Linked DNA regions of Schizosaccharomyces pombe. Changing the gene in region 2 together with the main gene of any one other region gives a genetic interaction. Each region holds a gene or a part of one and is shown on either strand. Other genes may lie near its edges.

What was found.
Region 1: of nab2 (region 2) and prp1, changing one suppresses a phenotype caused by changing the other (phenotypic suppression), as found in Schizosaccharomyces pombe (one study listed by BioGRID).
Region 3: of nab2 (region 2) and prp2, changing one suppresses a phenotype caused by changing the other (phenotypic suppression), as found in Schizosaccharomyces pombe (one study listed by BioGRID).

What each region holds. Positions count from the first base shown.
Region 1 is NC_003423.3:2,639,879-2,645,400, forward strand, and holds prp1 (U4/U6 x U5 tri-snRNP complex subunit Prp1), read left to right. Parts: upstream 1-2,042; 5' UTR 2,043-2,111; coding exon 2,112-4,832; 3' UTR 4,833-5,019; downstream 5,020-5,522. Other genes in the region: ubiquitin hydrolase Ubp14, read right to left, coding at 36-131; ofd1 (2-oxoglutarate and Fe(2+) dioxygenase domain-containing protein 1), read right to left, coding at 5,168-5,522. UniProt on the Schizosaccharomyces pombe protein: Involved in pre-mRNA splicing. Interacts with prp6 and prp13. May also be involved in the regulation of the G0-G1/G2 transition. Required for pre-spliceosome formation, which is the first step of pre-mRNA splicing. This protein is associated with snRNP U5.
Region 2 is NC_003424.3:5,237,756-5,242,166, forward strand, and holds nab2 (poly(A)-binding protein Nab2), read right to left. Parts: upstream 2,464-4,411; 5' UTR 2,063-2,463; coding exon 1,481-2,062; exon of another isoform or gene 1,438-1,480; coding exon 1,339-1,437; intron 1,293-1,338; coding exon 1,050-1,292; 3' UTR 571-1,049; downstream 1-570. Other genes in the region: LEM domain-containing protein Man1, read right to left, coding at 1-563; SPOM_SPAC14C4.07 (transporter), read left to right, coding at 3,037-4,411. UniProt on the Schizosaccharomyces pombe protein: RNA-binding protein involved in RNA processing. Acts as a regulator of mRNA stability: binds to mRNAs and pre-mRNAs, preventing their degradation.
Region 3 is NC_003423.3:1,011,269-1,015,682, reverse strand, and holds prp2 (U2 small nuclear RNA auxiliary factor small subunit, U2AF-59), read right to left. Parts: upstream 2,374-4,414; 5' UTR 2,129-2,373; coding exon 575-2,128; 3' UTR 504-574; downstream 1-503. Other genes in the region: tif1102 (translation initiation factor eIF1A-like), read left to right, coding at 1-214, 267-351; fan1 (fanconi-associated nuclease 1), read left to right, coding at 2,971-4,414. UniProt on the Schizosaccharomyces pombe protein: Necessary for the splicing of pre-mRNA. The SF1-U2AF59-U2AF23 complex has a role in the recognition of the branch site (5'-UACUAAC-3'), the pyrimidine tract and the 3'-splice site at the 3'-end of introns.

The sequences.
Region 1 (5,522 bases), on a different chromosome or scaffold from region 2:
TACATGTTTTAAAACAAGCTATTTAAAAAACATACCTGCGAATTAAAGCAACGGACGCATTCTTCACGATATATTACCTGAGAATTATCTGGGATTACAACGTTTGTCTCTGTGAGGTGCGGACACGACATGGGTTGCTATAGGTGTTTATGGATGGATGGACATGAGGTAGGCAGAATATTAACATTAGTTAATAATATACGTGCATCTTGTTGATTAACGTATCGCTACAACTAAAATACCATCATGTTTTACAGAGGGCTTAATTAATACTCCTAATCCTGCATACCAAACTCTTATTAATTCGTTTAATTATAAACTAAATTGCAGTACGTTACAGTACTGCAACGAGTAATATCATTATAACTCAATTTTCCTTGTTTGTAGAACTCCAGAGGTCCAATAATTGAACATCCTGGGGTTATTCTTTTTATTGTGTAAATAAATTAAAAACCAAGAATACTGTGCATGAACTATTACCATATTTAGACTTCCGAGTGCAGATGTATGCTGTCGAGTCTACCTATACTGCTGATTAGATATTGCTTATTAAAACAACATTTGTATCATTTCCTGTAAGCTTGCATTTTTATATTGAATATTCGAATAGAATACTCATTGCTGTATCCATGTATTAACGCAACAGTGGACAGCGTAAATAACATTGGCATATATAATGTTATCAAGCAGGAGATTTGTAGAAACAGCTTATTTACACAGTCTTAAAATAACAATAGTTAATTAATATTTCTTGAATTTTTTTTATGATAAGTGAAAATCCACACATCAGATTCTACTATACTCACTCAAGTTGTAAACAGATGGTTAATATACGCTGTATTTATTAAAATATCATTCTGAATATATCATTATCATTTACACAGGTACTCCTGAAATTTATAATATTAAAAAAAAAAAAAAAAAAAGAGAAAAAGATACAGCTAGATTAGCTGCCGTATTTTCTTTAAACCAAATTTATTTACACACTACATACATAATTCATGCCTATATTTATAAATGGAATAAAATAGAACAATTTTAATACCCAAAATTAACCTGGAAAAGCTAAGTTAAAAATGAAACGAGCCATATATATTGCCGATTATTATCATATTTTGATATCAGTGTTTTGCAGATGATTCTAATCTAACATATCTGAATCTTTTATTCTTTTTTGTGAAACTGACTTGCTTGCATCTTATGGCTGGAGTCAGTATAAATTTCTTAGAACTTATCAATCCAACGAATATACTTCTAAAAGATATTACATTAGCCTTGCACAACCTGCAGTTATAATCAAAACACTTAATCAACGTAGCTCAAGCATGTCTATTTAAGATGTTAAATATGTTTTGGTAAATTACTTTGCAAATAAAATTCTAAATACAATGGTTTGGCATTATGATAAAGAATAAGACAATTTACAAGCGAAAATAAATTTGACTGATGTGTCCAGGTACACTCATACTAGATACGATGAGCATTGATTTGAAACACCAGTATAATATACCGAGACATTAAAAGACAAACGTAGTGGCCATGCAAAAATATTGCTGCAACGTCTGTCCAGTTATCACTCGGATTCAATTAAGATTTGTTTAATTCCAATACTCACAAAGCTTGTGATGAACAATATTTTTCGTAATTTCAACCGTTCTGCATACTTTACACGACATTGATTTACAAAGTGTAAATTCATCTTCAAAGAAAAGTAGGAAAATAAAAGAAAGGAAGAAAACACTGTTCATGCATTTTTTCAAAATTGTTGCAAAAAATCTAATAAATTTATTTGGCTATCAAATGCTAAATCATAAATACTCGTGTGTTAGCGGTTCAGTGTATAACAAGTCAATCACAATGCTTATTTATATATCGTTTGATTGTAAAATCATTACATACAGTAGGAAATTTATTTTGTTTAAGAAATATTCTATCTTAAGTTTTTCTAAATTTACTTTTACCTAATGGCTCTTTTTAACTTTGTTGTAGTAAAGCTGCTAGGAGTTAATTTCTCTTCTTCGTATTGCCTACTTTTAAAATTTGAAAGCCACTACCAGATATTTATAAAGCCGAAAGGCTCGGCTTATTGCATTTAATTGCAGATAATTAGAATGGCAAACTTTTATCCAGATTTTCTGAATATGCAGCCACCTCCTAACTATGTAGCAGGTTTAGGACGTGGTGCAACAGGATTTACAACGCGTTCAGATCTTGGGCCTGCTCAAGAATTGCCATCCCAAGAATCTATAAAGGCTGCAATTGAACAAAGGAAATCAGAAATAGAGGAAGAAGAAGATATCGATCCTCGTTATCAGGATCCTGACAATGAAGTAGCGCTGTTTGCTACTGCTCCATATGATCATGAGGACGAAGAAGCTGATAAAATATATCAATCTGTAGAGGAACATTTAAGTAAAAGAAGAAAATCCCAACGTGAAAAACAAGAACAGCTACAGAAAGAAAAATATGAAAAAGAAAACCCCAAGGTTTCTTCACAATTTGCGGACTTAAAACGTGGGTTATCCACTTTGACAGATGAAGACTGGAATAATATCCCAGAACCCGGCGATCTAACTCGTAAAAAAAGGACTAAACAGCCGAGACGTGAAAGATTTTATGCAACAAGTGATTTTGTTCTTGCAAGTGCTCGCAATGAAAATCAAGCTATCTCTAATTTTGCAGTGGATACTCAAGCAGGAACAGAAACTCCAGATATGAATGGGACAAAAACAAATTTTGTTGAAATTGGAGCTGCTCGTGACAAAGTTTTAGGTATCAAGTTAGCACAAGCTTCGTCGAATTTGACTTCACCATCGACTATAGATCCGAAGGGGTATTTAACTAGTCTGAATAGTATGGTTCCAAAAAATGCCAATGACCTGGGTGATATAAGAAAAGCTAGAAAATTGTTGCAAAGTGTTATTGAAACGAATCCAAAGCACGCCTCTGGCTGGGTAGCTGCTGCGCGGCTTGAAGAGGTCGCGAATAAATTATCTCAAGCACAATCTTTAATTTTAAAAGGTTGCGAAAATTGTTCTCGCTCTGAGGATGTTTGGCTAGAAGCAATACGACTACACCCGGCTGCAGAAGCAAAAGTTATTATTGCAAATGCCGTTAAAAAATTACCAAAGTCAGTGACGTTATGGCTTGAAGCCGAAAAACTTGAAAATCAAGCTCAGCACAAAAAAAGGATTATAAAAAAAGCTTTAGAATTTAACCCGACTTCTGTAAGCTTATGGAAAGAAGCTGTAAATTTAGAAGAAGAAGTGGATAATGCAAGGATACTATTAGCTCGTGCCGTTGAATTAATACCCATGTCCATTGATTTATGGTTAGCTCTTGCTCGACTTGAAACTTATGAGAATGCTAAAAAGGTGCTCAATAAAGCCAGACAAACCATCCGTACTTCCCATGAGGTTTGGATTGCTGCTGCTCGTTTGGAAGAACAGCAAGGTAATGTATCACGGGTGGAAAAAATAATGGCTCGTGGTGTAAGTGAGTTACAGGCTACTGGTGGTATGTTACAACGCGATCAGTGGCTTTCCGAGGCTGAAAAATGCGAAACTGAAGGGGCAGTGATTACTGCACAAGCTATAATTAATACGTGCCTCGGTGTTGGATTGGATGAAGAAGATCAATTCGACACCTGGTTAGATGATGCTCAATCTTTTATAGCTCGTAAATGTATAGATTGTGCGCGTGCTGTTTTTGCTTTTTCTTTAAGAGTCTATCCAAAAAGTGAGAAACTTTGGCTGAGAGCTGTTGAACTTGAAAAGCTGTATGGTACAACAGAAAGTGTTTGTTCTATTTTAGAAAAAGCTGTAGAATCATGTCCTAAAGCCGAAATTTTATGGTTGCTTTATGCTAAAGAGCGAAAAAACGTTAATGATATTGCTGGTGCTCGGAATATTCTTGGGAGAGCTTTTGAATATAATTCTAATAGCGAAGAGATATGGCTTGCTGCTGTCAGAATTGAATTTGTGAACAATGAAAATGAACGTGCCAGAAAGCTACTTGCCCGTGCTCGTATCGAATCGGGAACTGAACGAATATGGACTAAATCCATTTCGCTTGAACGAATTTTGGACGAAAAAGATCGGGCGTTACAACTTTTGGAAAATGCACTGAAAATTTATCCCCATTATGATAAGTTGTACATGATGAAGGGTCAAATTTTTGAAGATAAAGAGCAGATTGAGCTTGCTCGAGACGCATACTTGGCTGGCACAAAAGTTTGTCCTTATTCCATACCTTTGTGGCTTTTGCTAGCCAAACTTGAAGAAAAGCAGTCCGTTATACGCGCGAGAGTTGTGTTTGATAGGGCTAAGGTTAAAAATCCTAAGAATGAATTTTTATGGCTTGAACTTATAAAAATGGAACTCCGGGCGGGGAATATTTCACAAGTTCGTGCAGCCCTTGCTAAGGCCTTGCAGGAATGCCCATCTTCGGGTTTGCTGTGGACGGAGGCTATATGGCTTGAACCTCGCGCACAGCGTAAAACTCGTGCTACAGATGCTTTAAGGAAATGTGAAGGCAATGCACATTTACTTTGCACCATCGCCAGGATGCTGTGGCTGGAAAAAAAAGCAGATAAGGCGCGTAGTTGGTTTTTAAAAGCTGTTAAGGCTGACCAAGATAACGGAGATGTGTGGTGTTGGTTTTATAAGTATAGCTTAGAGGCTGGGAACGAAGACCAACAGAAAGAAGTGCTTACAAGTTTTGAAACCGCTGATCCTCATCATGGTTATTTTTGGCCCAGTATTACTAAAGATATCAAAAATTCTCGGAAAACTCCGCAGGAACTATTACATCTTGCCATAAATGTGTTATGATTACGACAAAAATGATGACTGTAACATATTGGATCTATTATTTATCTTAAAATTAATGTTTAAATTGGTATTCGAATTTACTTTAGATATTTGTAAATTTACGGACTTTTTAATAAAAAAGAACGATTTTTAAACAGGTTCGATTGAACACTTACTTTAAATCAACAAGAATACCAGTTAAGAAAGCAGTAAAAGTGTAAACCAAAACTTTTTATGTAATACACACTATCAACACGAAAGTGGGTTTTAAAAAACACAAGGGAAAAACTTTCAAAAATAAGACAAAAAATTAGAGAAAAAAAAATTAAGTAACCCCTTTTAAGTATATGTTGCCTTTACTCAGCAACGGGATTCCATTGTGAATATATATCCCAGCGACTAGATTCGGCTTGACGCGACACATATTTGACAAATTGAAGGACACCTTCATCTCTATAAACCAAAGAAAAAACATTCCAAGCGGCTGGCAAAGAAAGCAAAATACTGTCATCTTGCTGATCACCCCTATACACAGCAGCATCTACATCAGGATCTTCATCGCCAATCATATAAATATCATATGCACCATTGTCAGTATTCGCAATGCCTGTCCCCGGAGATAAGCAAAGAGTAGCTTCTAGTAAAGCTGTGTCATTCGTAGTAGCAAGCGTAAAATCGGAACCAGGGCGGAATCGTCGACCAACTTGATGA
Region 2 (4,411 bases):
GTTAAATTCTGGACAATTGAAAAAGACGATTCCATTGAGTTGTCGAGGTTTACAACTGCCGCATTAAGCTCAGTTTGCGTCTCAAATGGTATATGTGTTATTTCTTCGTTTCGCGAATCTATTTTGGCAATCTTTGAGGCATGAAATTCAGATTCTTCTGAAATGGTTATCGTGTTAGTATTCAAAACTTGAACGTTCTCGTCCTGTAACATCCCCATCACATTATCTTCAAATTGTGAAGTTTTAGAAATTTCTGTATCATTAGCCTCGTCAACCATATTTATTTTTCTCTTAGAGCTAATTCGAGCAGTAACATTATTCGTAACCCCTGCCACCCTTCTACGAGGACTACGAGAAGACGGAGGAACGTTCTTTTGCTGCAATTCTGTCATAGAGATCAAGCCATTTTTTGCCCTTCGTAGTTTACTGAAAAGCGTGATTAACTGCGCTTTCTTCGCCGTTGACGGATAGTATATTTGATATTCAGTTAATATATTACGCAAATCTACTACTCGAAGAGACGAAGGATCATAATCGGGGTCAAAATAAGAAGGGACCTCCATTCAATTAAAAAAAACCTTTTAACTAAAGGGTATGTGTATAGACGTAAAACTGGCGAATGTAAATACCAAGTGATTGTTGTCAACAACATGGTGTAAGCCAAGTAACCAACAAGTAACATAAGATGTATTTAGTAATGAATGTCAACAAACGTGGGTATTTGAATATGTATAATATTAACTTAACCGAAGAAGTAAATAAATCATTATTTGCATAATTCACATCAAAATAAAATTTTCATTCACTAAAAAGACATCAATATAACGAAAACAAATTTTTTAAATCAATTTAGCGACTTGATAATTGCCGATTGCAGCAAACGTAGCGACAAATAAAACTTTATCGTTTTAGCAATCTATACAATAAAATAAATATCAAGTTTGCAAACTCTAGAAGGTATGTTCTTAAACGAAGTATCCTGGCTTGACTATCAAAAGTAGATATGTGCCAATTATACGAACACGAAATAGTATCATAATTCTCTAAATTTACACAGAAGGAACATGAAGTTGTTCTTCTGACTCGTTAACAGCAAACGAACGTTCACTCAGGGACGTCTCTTCTGTTTTAGAGGGTGGCCGCCATGTCATATTTCTGCTTTTCGTCGGGTGGATAAAACGACAAGCTGGATTCAAACACGGTTTATATTTACAAGGAATTGGAATGGTTGACATGGACATGAAAGGTGGTAATGTAGTAACCGTAGCTGGAGATGGATGTCCCTTGACACACTGTATACGTTAGTAATAGTTAGATTTAAATTATTATGGTACTTACATCAGCAGCTTTGCATTCTTTACCAGAAGCACACATTTCACTGCTCAGGACCATACCTTCTCCTGGGGCTGCGGCTGGTGTCGGATGAGCAAATATACACTAAAGAGTTAGTTTTAACAAATTATCTGATATTAATACATACGTTAGCACGGGAGCACTTATCGGCATATTTGCACAAAGGGACCTCTTGGGTTTGAGTGAGAGCACGCTTGGCAGCAGGCATAACGGATTTCGAGTAGTTAAACGAAGCTGCCATGGGATTGAATCGCTGTTTCTGAGATGTAAGTTTGAGCTTTTGTCCGACACGCCCAGTAGGTAGCTCCTTCTCTTCACGTAACGAAGTTATATTAGGAGTTTGAGAAGATTGAGGTTGTATGCTAGTTTCCGGCACAGAGAAAGATTGCTGCGACTTGTCAGTTGACTCCTTCTCGATAAAATCGATTTCGTCGATCTTGCTGACTGACTCAACTGAAGCATTTTTTGATTTTTCAAGCTCTTCAATTTGATTAAATAACCAAAGTGAGAAGCTAGTATCAAAATCGGACCCTATTAAATCAACTAGTTCTTCATTAATTTCAGTTTGTGTTTTTCCATTGCTAAGCATCACAAGAACAAAATCGGCCAGAGAAGCAGCCTCTTCTCCCCACCCATATTCAGAAAGTTTTTTTTCAATCGAATCATGAAGTTTTTCACTATATCCAGGTGTTTCCAGTAATGTAGTCATGTTGTTGGTTTACAGTCAATAATTAACTAAAATAAGCCAAAATAATAGAGATGCTCAAATTTACAATAAATGTACTCCGAGAATTAGTAAATCAATTCCACTCCTGTTATGGAATCAGAATTTAATAAGTTATGTACCGGTATATGCTCTAAAATGAAATCAAATAGCTCAACTTAGCATGAAATAAAGGAATTGAGAAGAAAGAATACAATCACAAAAATATGTTCACAGACAAGAAGTTGGCAAATTTGCCGTTCCAAAAGAAATAAACTTCCTATAGATGATGCGTTCGGAGAGCTTCAATGGAATACGTAGACTAAAGGTAATTTCTAGTAGCAATAGTTATATTGATACTGCAAGCCGTAAGTTAAAATACAGCAAGAGCCTCAGTTCAAACGTAAGTGGAATATAAGAAATATCTTTCACAGTAAGAACAGAAAGAATTAATAAATAGCATAAAATAGCGAGTTTGCTAATTTTTTTTCGAATATTATACCCAATTTCACTATAAGAACTATTCAACGACTAACGATGACACTATAACGCCACAACGTAACAGCATTAATTAAACTAGTCCAGAATCTAAGCGTCTAATATATATACATCTAAAGGCTTAGCCAACTACAAAGCAATTACATTGCATTGTCATTTTGGAATATAGTTATTTCTTCATAGTAACTAGTAGTTCAAAATTACTTTCTCGAGCAAATATTTTCCTTCGGTTCTCAACCTTCTTAGTAGCACCAACTACCTAAAGTCTTCTAATTATCTCGAAATCGAAAACGTTGTGAAACGTATATATTGCATATAGAAAAATTTTTAGGATATAGGTGCAAGGAATTTTACAATTGATGCTGCAGTTTGAGGGCAACGAGTTAATTGATTATTGCGAACATTTCGAGTAGAAGAGTATTTGGGTTATAATTTACATTCTATTTTATCAGCGTACCCACCATTTTGAGAAGGAGCTACAAATGTCTTCACACGATGATGATCATACTCCATTACTAATTTCCGATCCGTCAGTGAACAAGCCCTTTCGATCCAGAACTCCTTCACCAGAAAGAGAATACTGTTCTGATTGTCCTTTGCAAGCTAAAGGTTCTGCATGCAACGGTAATTCTCATTCATTAAAGCATGAAACCAATGGTGCCAGTTCAAGCAATAATAACGTTGCAAAGTCAAGCTCGCATGACTCATTTAAGGCGAAGCCTAAAAATTACGACTCTACCTCCAATTCTAATGAACCCATCTCTTTCAATGAACCAGATTCATCTAATTCTCATCATAATAATGAATCTATATGTAACAATGATAACTGTTGTCGTGAAATCGCCAGAAGACGTTCTTTATCTCCACTTTTGATTCTTCCATTAAACTTTATTAATGCCTTTTCTTGGGGCATGATTGAAATACCTCTGCTCTTTTTACTTCGACAGGAACTATGTGCCATTCATTATAACCTTGATCCTACACAGTTGTCCCCAGATGACCCAATATGCCGACTAGCGGAAATTACTACTGGTGTTTCAAAAGTCCGTGCCGCTTTTGGCTCTTTAGCCGCCTTTTTAGGTCTTTTTTCCACCGCTTATTATGGAACAATGGGGGATATTTATGGTCGCCGCCTTGTACTTTTCATTACCGTCTCATTTTTGCTGCTTGGTGATTTATGGCTTTTATATCAGTCCTATGCCCCCAAGCATCCATATTTTGTTCTTTTTGCTGCTGCCTTGAAAGGCTTAGGCGGTTATATTTCTACCGTTGTAGCCAGCCAAAATTCCTTTGTTGCAGATTGTTCTAAGACCGAGTTTCGTGCATGGTATTTAGGATTAAATTTTGCTGCTTACCATCTAGGAACCGCTTTGGGACCTAGTTTAAGCGGATTCATTGTGCAATACACTCCTCATATGTATTATGTATTTTATATTACTTCAACTTTTTGGATTATTTATTTACTTTACGTTTGGTTGATACTTCCAGAAAGCCTAGATGTTTCGGAAAGTAAAGAGCAGCAGAATAAAATATCTGGATTTTCCTCGATATGGAGATCATGCCTTGAGCCACTTATAATTCTTTGGCCTCGAAGTTTATGTACAGAGGAATCATGCGAATTCCATCAGTACGATATTAATGCTGATACCCATGCAGGAAGAAGACACTGGGACGTGTTACTTGCAGCAATATTGATATCTTTAACTTTACTCGGCGCTGGTTCAATGGGCTTATTGCCGCTTTATACGGACTATAAATTTGGCTGGGGTCCAATGAAGGCTAGCTTAATATTATCCACCGACTCTTTTGCTAGTTCAATCACATTAGTTGCGCTATTCCCTTTACTTTCTAAAGTTA
Region 3 (4,414 bases), on a different chromosome or scaffold from region 2:
TTAAAGGATCTGCGCTTTTTATGGTAGTAGAAAACAATGGACAGGAATTACTTGTTGAGATGCCTCCAAAGTATCGTAATAAAATATGGGTTAGGAGAAATGGGTTTGTAATAGTTGATAAATCTGAGTTTTTAGAGAAGGACAATAAAATTGACGGTACTATATTGTACGTGGTACAAAGCCCTTTAAAAAATTGGAAAAAACAAATTTATTGGTAAGAAATTCTCTTGAAATAACATTAGATGATTGTGCTAACTAGTTTAAAGGCCTAAAGAGTTTGCAGATGAATCGTTAAATCAAAACGATTCTGAGGAAAGCAGCAGTAGCGAGGAAGAATACGATAGTGACTAACAATTTACAAAAAATACATATATTAAGAATCCTTACAACGAACCTTGTAAATTAAACCGATGATAAAAAGCGTATAACGGGAAATGCTTGCAAGAATTACTTCATCCCACAATCGCTCATTACAATTGAGTACTTTGTTACACTTTAAACAATCCAATGAGAAATACTGATATTATTACCCTAACATTAAGATATTATACTAACCTTTTCATTGAAACTGAAATCACCATGCATTAGCTTTATAGCAATCCTCACCATAAAAAGCAATGACAATCGTGCGATCATTAAATTTACAACCTTTCATCTCTTCCATTGCGACCTCTGCAGATCTGATATCGGAGTATCGTACAAAAACCTTTCCAGTTCCTAATCCCGAGTTTCTAGTGCCAATACTACGAGGAATTTTTATATCTATAAGTGGTCCATAATTCGAAAATTGGGTCTTTACAGACTCATATATGTCTTCATATTCTTGTACATCCATAATTTCGTCCCCAGTAATTAAATTATGTAATTGTAAGACTCTAGTTGGAATAGATTGTGATGACGCCTTAGCAAGTTCTGTCAAAATGGCCATTCCATTAGACTTATCTATCATAGCTTGATTGAGACCTACACAAGCAAATTGTGCGTGTAACTTGTTCCCATACGTATCTTTACCATCAAGACCGCTGATAGCTACTTCCGCATCAGAAGGATTTTTAAATTCGCAAAAACAAAAACCCTTCGAAGATCCATCTGCAATATTTTTTATCAATTGAAAGCTTAATAAATCACCGAAAGGCTTAAGTAGCTCCACCACTTGATCTTCGCCTAAATTTAAAGGTAAATTTGAAATGTAAATTTTGTCTTTTGAATCTAAAACGTCGTTCTTGGCATAATCATCACTTCTTTTTTGAGAAACTTCGGGGGTAATTTGAGGGACGATGTAATTTTGAATTCTTTGAAATTTTAAAAAGACATCATTAGAATATGATTCGGACTGAAGCCCCCAGAGGAAGGTGGCATCTTCAGGAGTAGCGACCTCAAGAATAGCAAAGTTTTCTTCTTTACAGACGTTGACAGAGGAGAAATGCTTTGTCTCGGGTTTATGGTATGTAGTTGAAATAAATAGATCTTCGATAAATGATACAAAAGCATCTTCAACGAATTCGTTAGGAATTCCAGTAACCACTAGTCGACGAGCCTGTCTGCTAGCACCTGGTTGTAAGGGCGGAGGGGGAGCAATAATACTTCCTTCCGCAGAGCGAGCAAATTCTAGCAATTTCTCTGGATCAGTAACTGCAGCTCTAGGAGCGCCTGGCAAAGGAAAAACACCAGACATTTTCGCCTGGTCAGCAGTAACCAATTCATAACCAGGTGGTTTAATGTCCCATAAAGAGCGCTTCCTTTTCCACTGATTTATTGGTGTTACATCTCTCAATTGTTCGAGTTCCTGTTCGATAGACCTTACGCTTCTTTCTCGGCTGGGAGGTGGACTTCTACTTCTTCCGACAGATGAATAACGTAATGATCGAGGCTCATAATCATCATATCTTCTTTCTCTTCTTGGCCTCTCATCCTCTCGATAACTTCTTTCACGAGATTCTCTATGTCTACGAAAATCACTTTCGTCTCGGCGACGTCTTCTAGGTCGTTCAGAGCCATAATGGCCTCTCGGGTCTTCCCTTCCTATCCCACCCGAACCTCTTTCTCGTCTAGGTTCTTCATCGCGATAATCTCTGTGTCGCTTGGGTATCCGTGAAGAACCTGATGATAATCTGGAAGACAAATCCATGTTAGTGAATGAATATGAGGCTATTTAAAAAATTATTCAAAAAAGAAGGGAGGGAAGAAATTCGTTTATTAAAATGAACTCTTAAATTCTCCGGAAAAAACTTTGATGAAAGTAGGGAATACAAAAGTACAAATTCTAATGAAATGATATGCGCGTCAATGCTCTTGGATTCCTTGCTAAAAAAAATTTATAACATGAACAATAATAATTAACTTATTTTTTCTTTATGTGATACGCCCAAGGTTAGTCAAAAGTTTCGACTTACTAAGTTAAGGTAGTGAGAGTTTGTAGTAACTTCGCCAGCGTCGTAATTTTAAGCACAACGTTGTTGACTTACATTTTCTTTTTAGTTTCAAATAGCAACTTTCGCTAAACTTGCATTATAGACAACACTGTAACTTACGAATGCAGTTAAATTTTCAAAAGCATTTATTTAAACTGTTGTCCTTACCCTAGTACCATTCTCCTAAGTTTTAACGAATTTTTCTCTTTTGACCATAGTATTTGATTGTATGGCTTTCTTTTAAAGCAATCTTTAAAAATTTACAGCTGCCATGAAATTCAATAATTTTCGTTTTTTTTTTGCCAGTACATCCACGATAGATTTAATGTTTGTCTCATTTTATCCTTGAAATCCATGCTCTTAAATTGTATGTTCAATCTTTTAAAAATTTACTTTATTACACAAGAAGACGTTTACATTCATTCAAAATTTATTATTATTTATTTTCATACTAGCTTTCCATTGTTGTAAAAGCCGCTCTTTTTTTTAAATATTTGTTTACTTACGGCCATCATCTTGTGCACTTATTCAGTCGCGCTGCTGTGATATCTAAAAATTCATGAAACGATTCTTTAATGAAGCGTGCGACATAAACACTCCAGATAAATCTGGGGTAAACGAGAACAAGTTATGTTTCCCTCCCTTAAAAGTTGTATGTCAAGCACCAGAGACAACAGTTAAAGGACAAGTTGCCAATACTAATAAGCACAATGTATATTCTACTAAAAATTCAATGTATCTGCTGGGGTTCGAAGAAATCCTAAACACCGTCCTCGATTGTGAACCGCATATCTTTACTGATGATGAGTTGAGGGTTATTGAAAACTTTAAAGCTTTAGACTCGGATGAACGGTACTTGTTTGTTCGTCTATTCATGCGTAAAAGAAATAAATGGTTCCGCGTGGGCCATTTGACTTATCCAGATTGCAAGGATGTTATTGCCTGCTGTAAGCAGCTTGTTCTGAAAAATTTTTTTGAAGATGAATCACTCATGTCAACTGAAGAAATAATTGAAATTCTATCTCTCGATGAATTGCGTTCGTTAGCTAGACAAACGAAGGTGTGTGGAAAAAGCAGGTCTGAAATTTCAAAAGAAATCATTTTCCTATCTAAAAGACAATCAGTACTACATTGTAATGGTCAACAATTTTTGTCCTTTGATGCTTTTGGTGTGATGCATAAGCAAGAGTCGTTTCTTCGGAAGCAACTATTATATCAATGCAAATCCTGTGTGAAACCAAAGAAAATTTTAGTAGACCTATTTCATCGAATTAATATTGTGTACTTTCGTTCGTCCATTTATGATGAACAATCGCTTACGTCTTTAATATTAGCACGCCTTAACAAATTTTCCTACCCGAATTACGTTTTATCGCGAACTTCAAACGTCTTTAATTGTCGTGCTCAATGCCTTGAATACGTTGAGGTTTTAGAACTTTCAAAAAACTTGGTTCCAATCTTTGAAAACACTGCCGCTTCGGATAAGGAAGCACTCGAACAAGCGTTGAACAGTTTTTTTGAAATATATCCTATATGGTCGACATATCTAAATGAAGACATTAGGGAATTTTGGGTGGAAGAAAATAGAAAAGTAGATACTCGATTGGTAAGGTTTTCTTTTAGCTTTCGTCCTGGTGCTGTTTACACATACTTAATACATAAAAGTCTAAATATTCTCGCGAAGTCGCGATTAGTTGAGGTTGAACATGAAATATTAGATACCCTTTTATCTCAAAATATATATTTGGTGGGTAAAAGAGGACATTGGTATAATAGAAAAGCCTTACTGGAATACAACTTTAAAACTGAGGATACTAACGTTTTGCGTTATTGGAAAACGCTTGCTTTATCAACTTGTGAAAATGGTATTGAAGACAAGTATACCCACCTCAGATATTACTTTAGCTTACAAAGGAGACTTGTTCGCTTACGGAAGTGTTTAAAAGTCTCTAATACTACCGAATTAAAAAGCATGAAACTTATAAATAATAATCCTTCAAGAC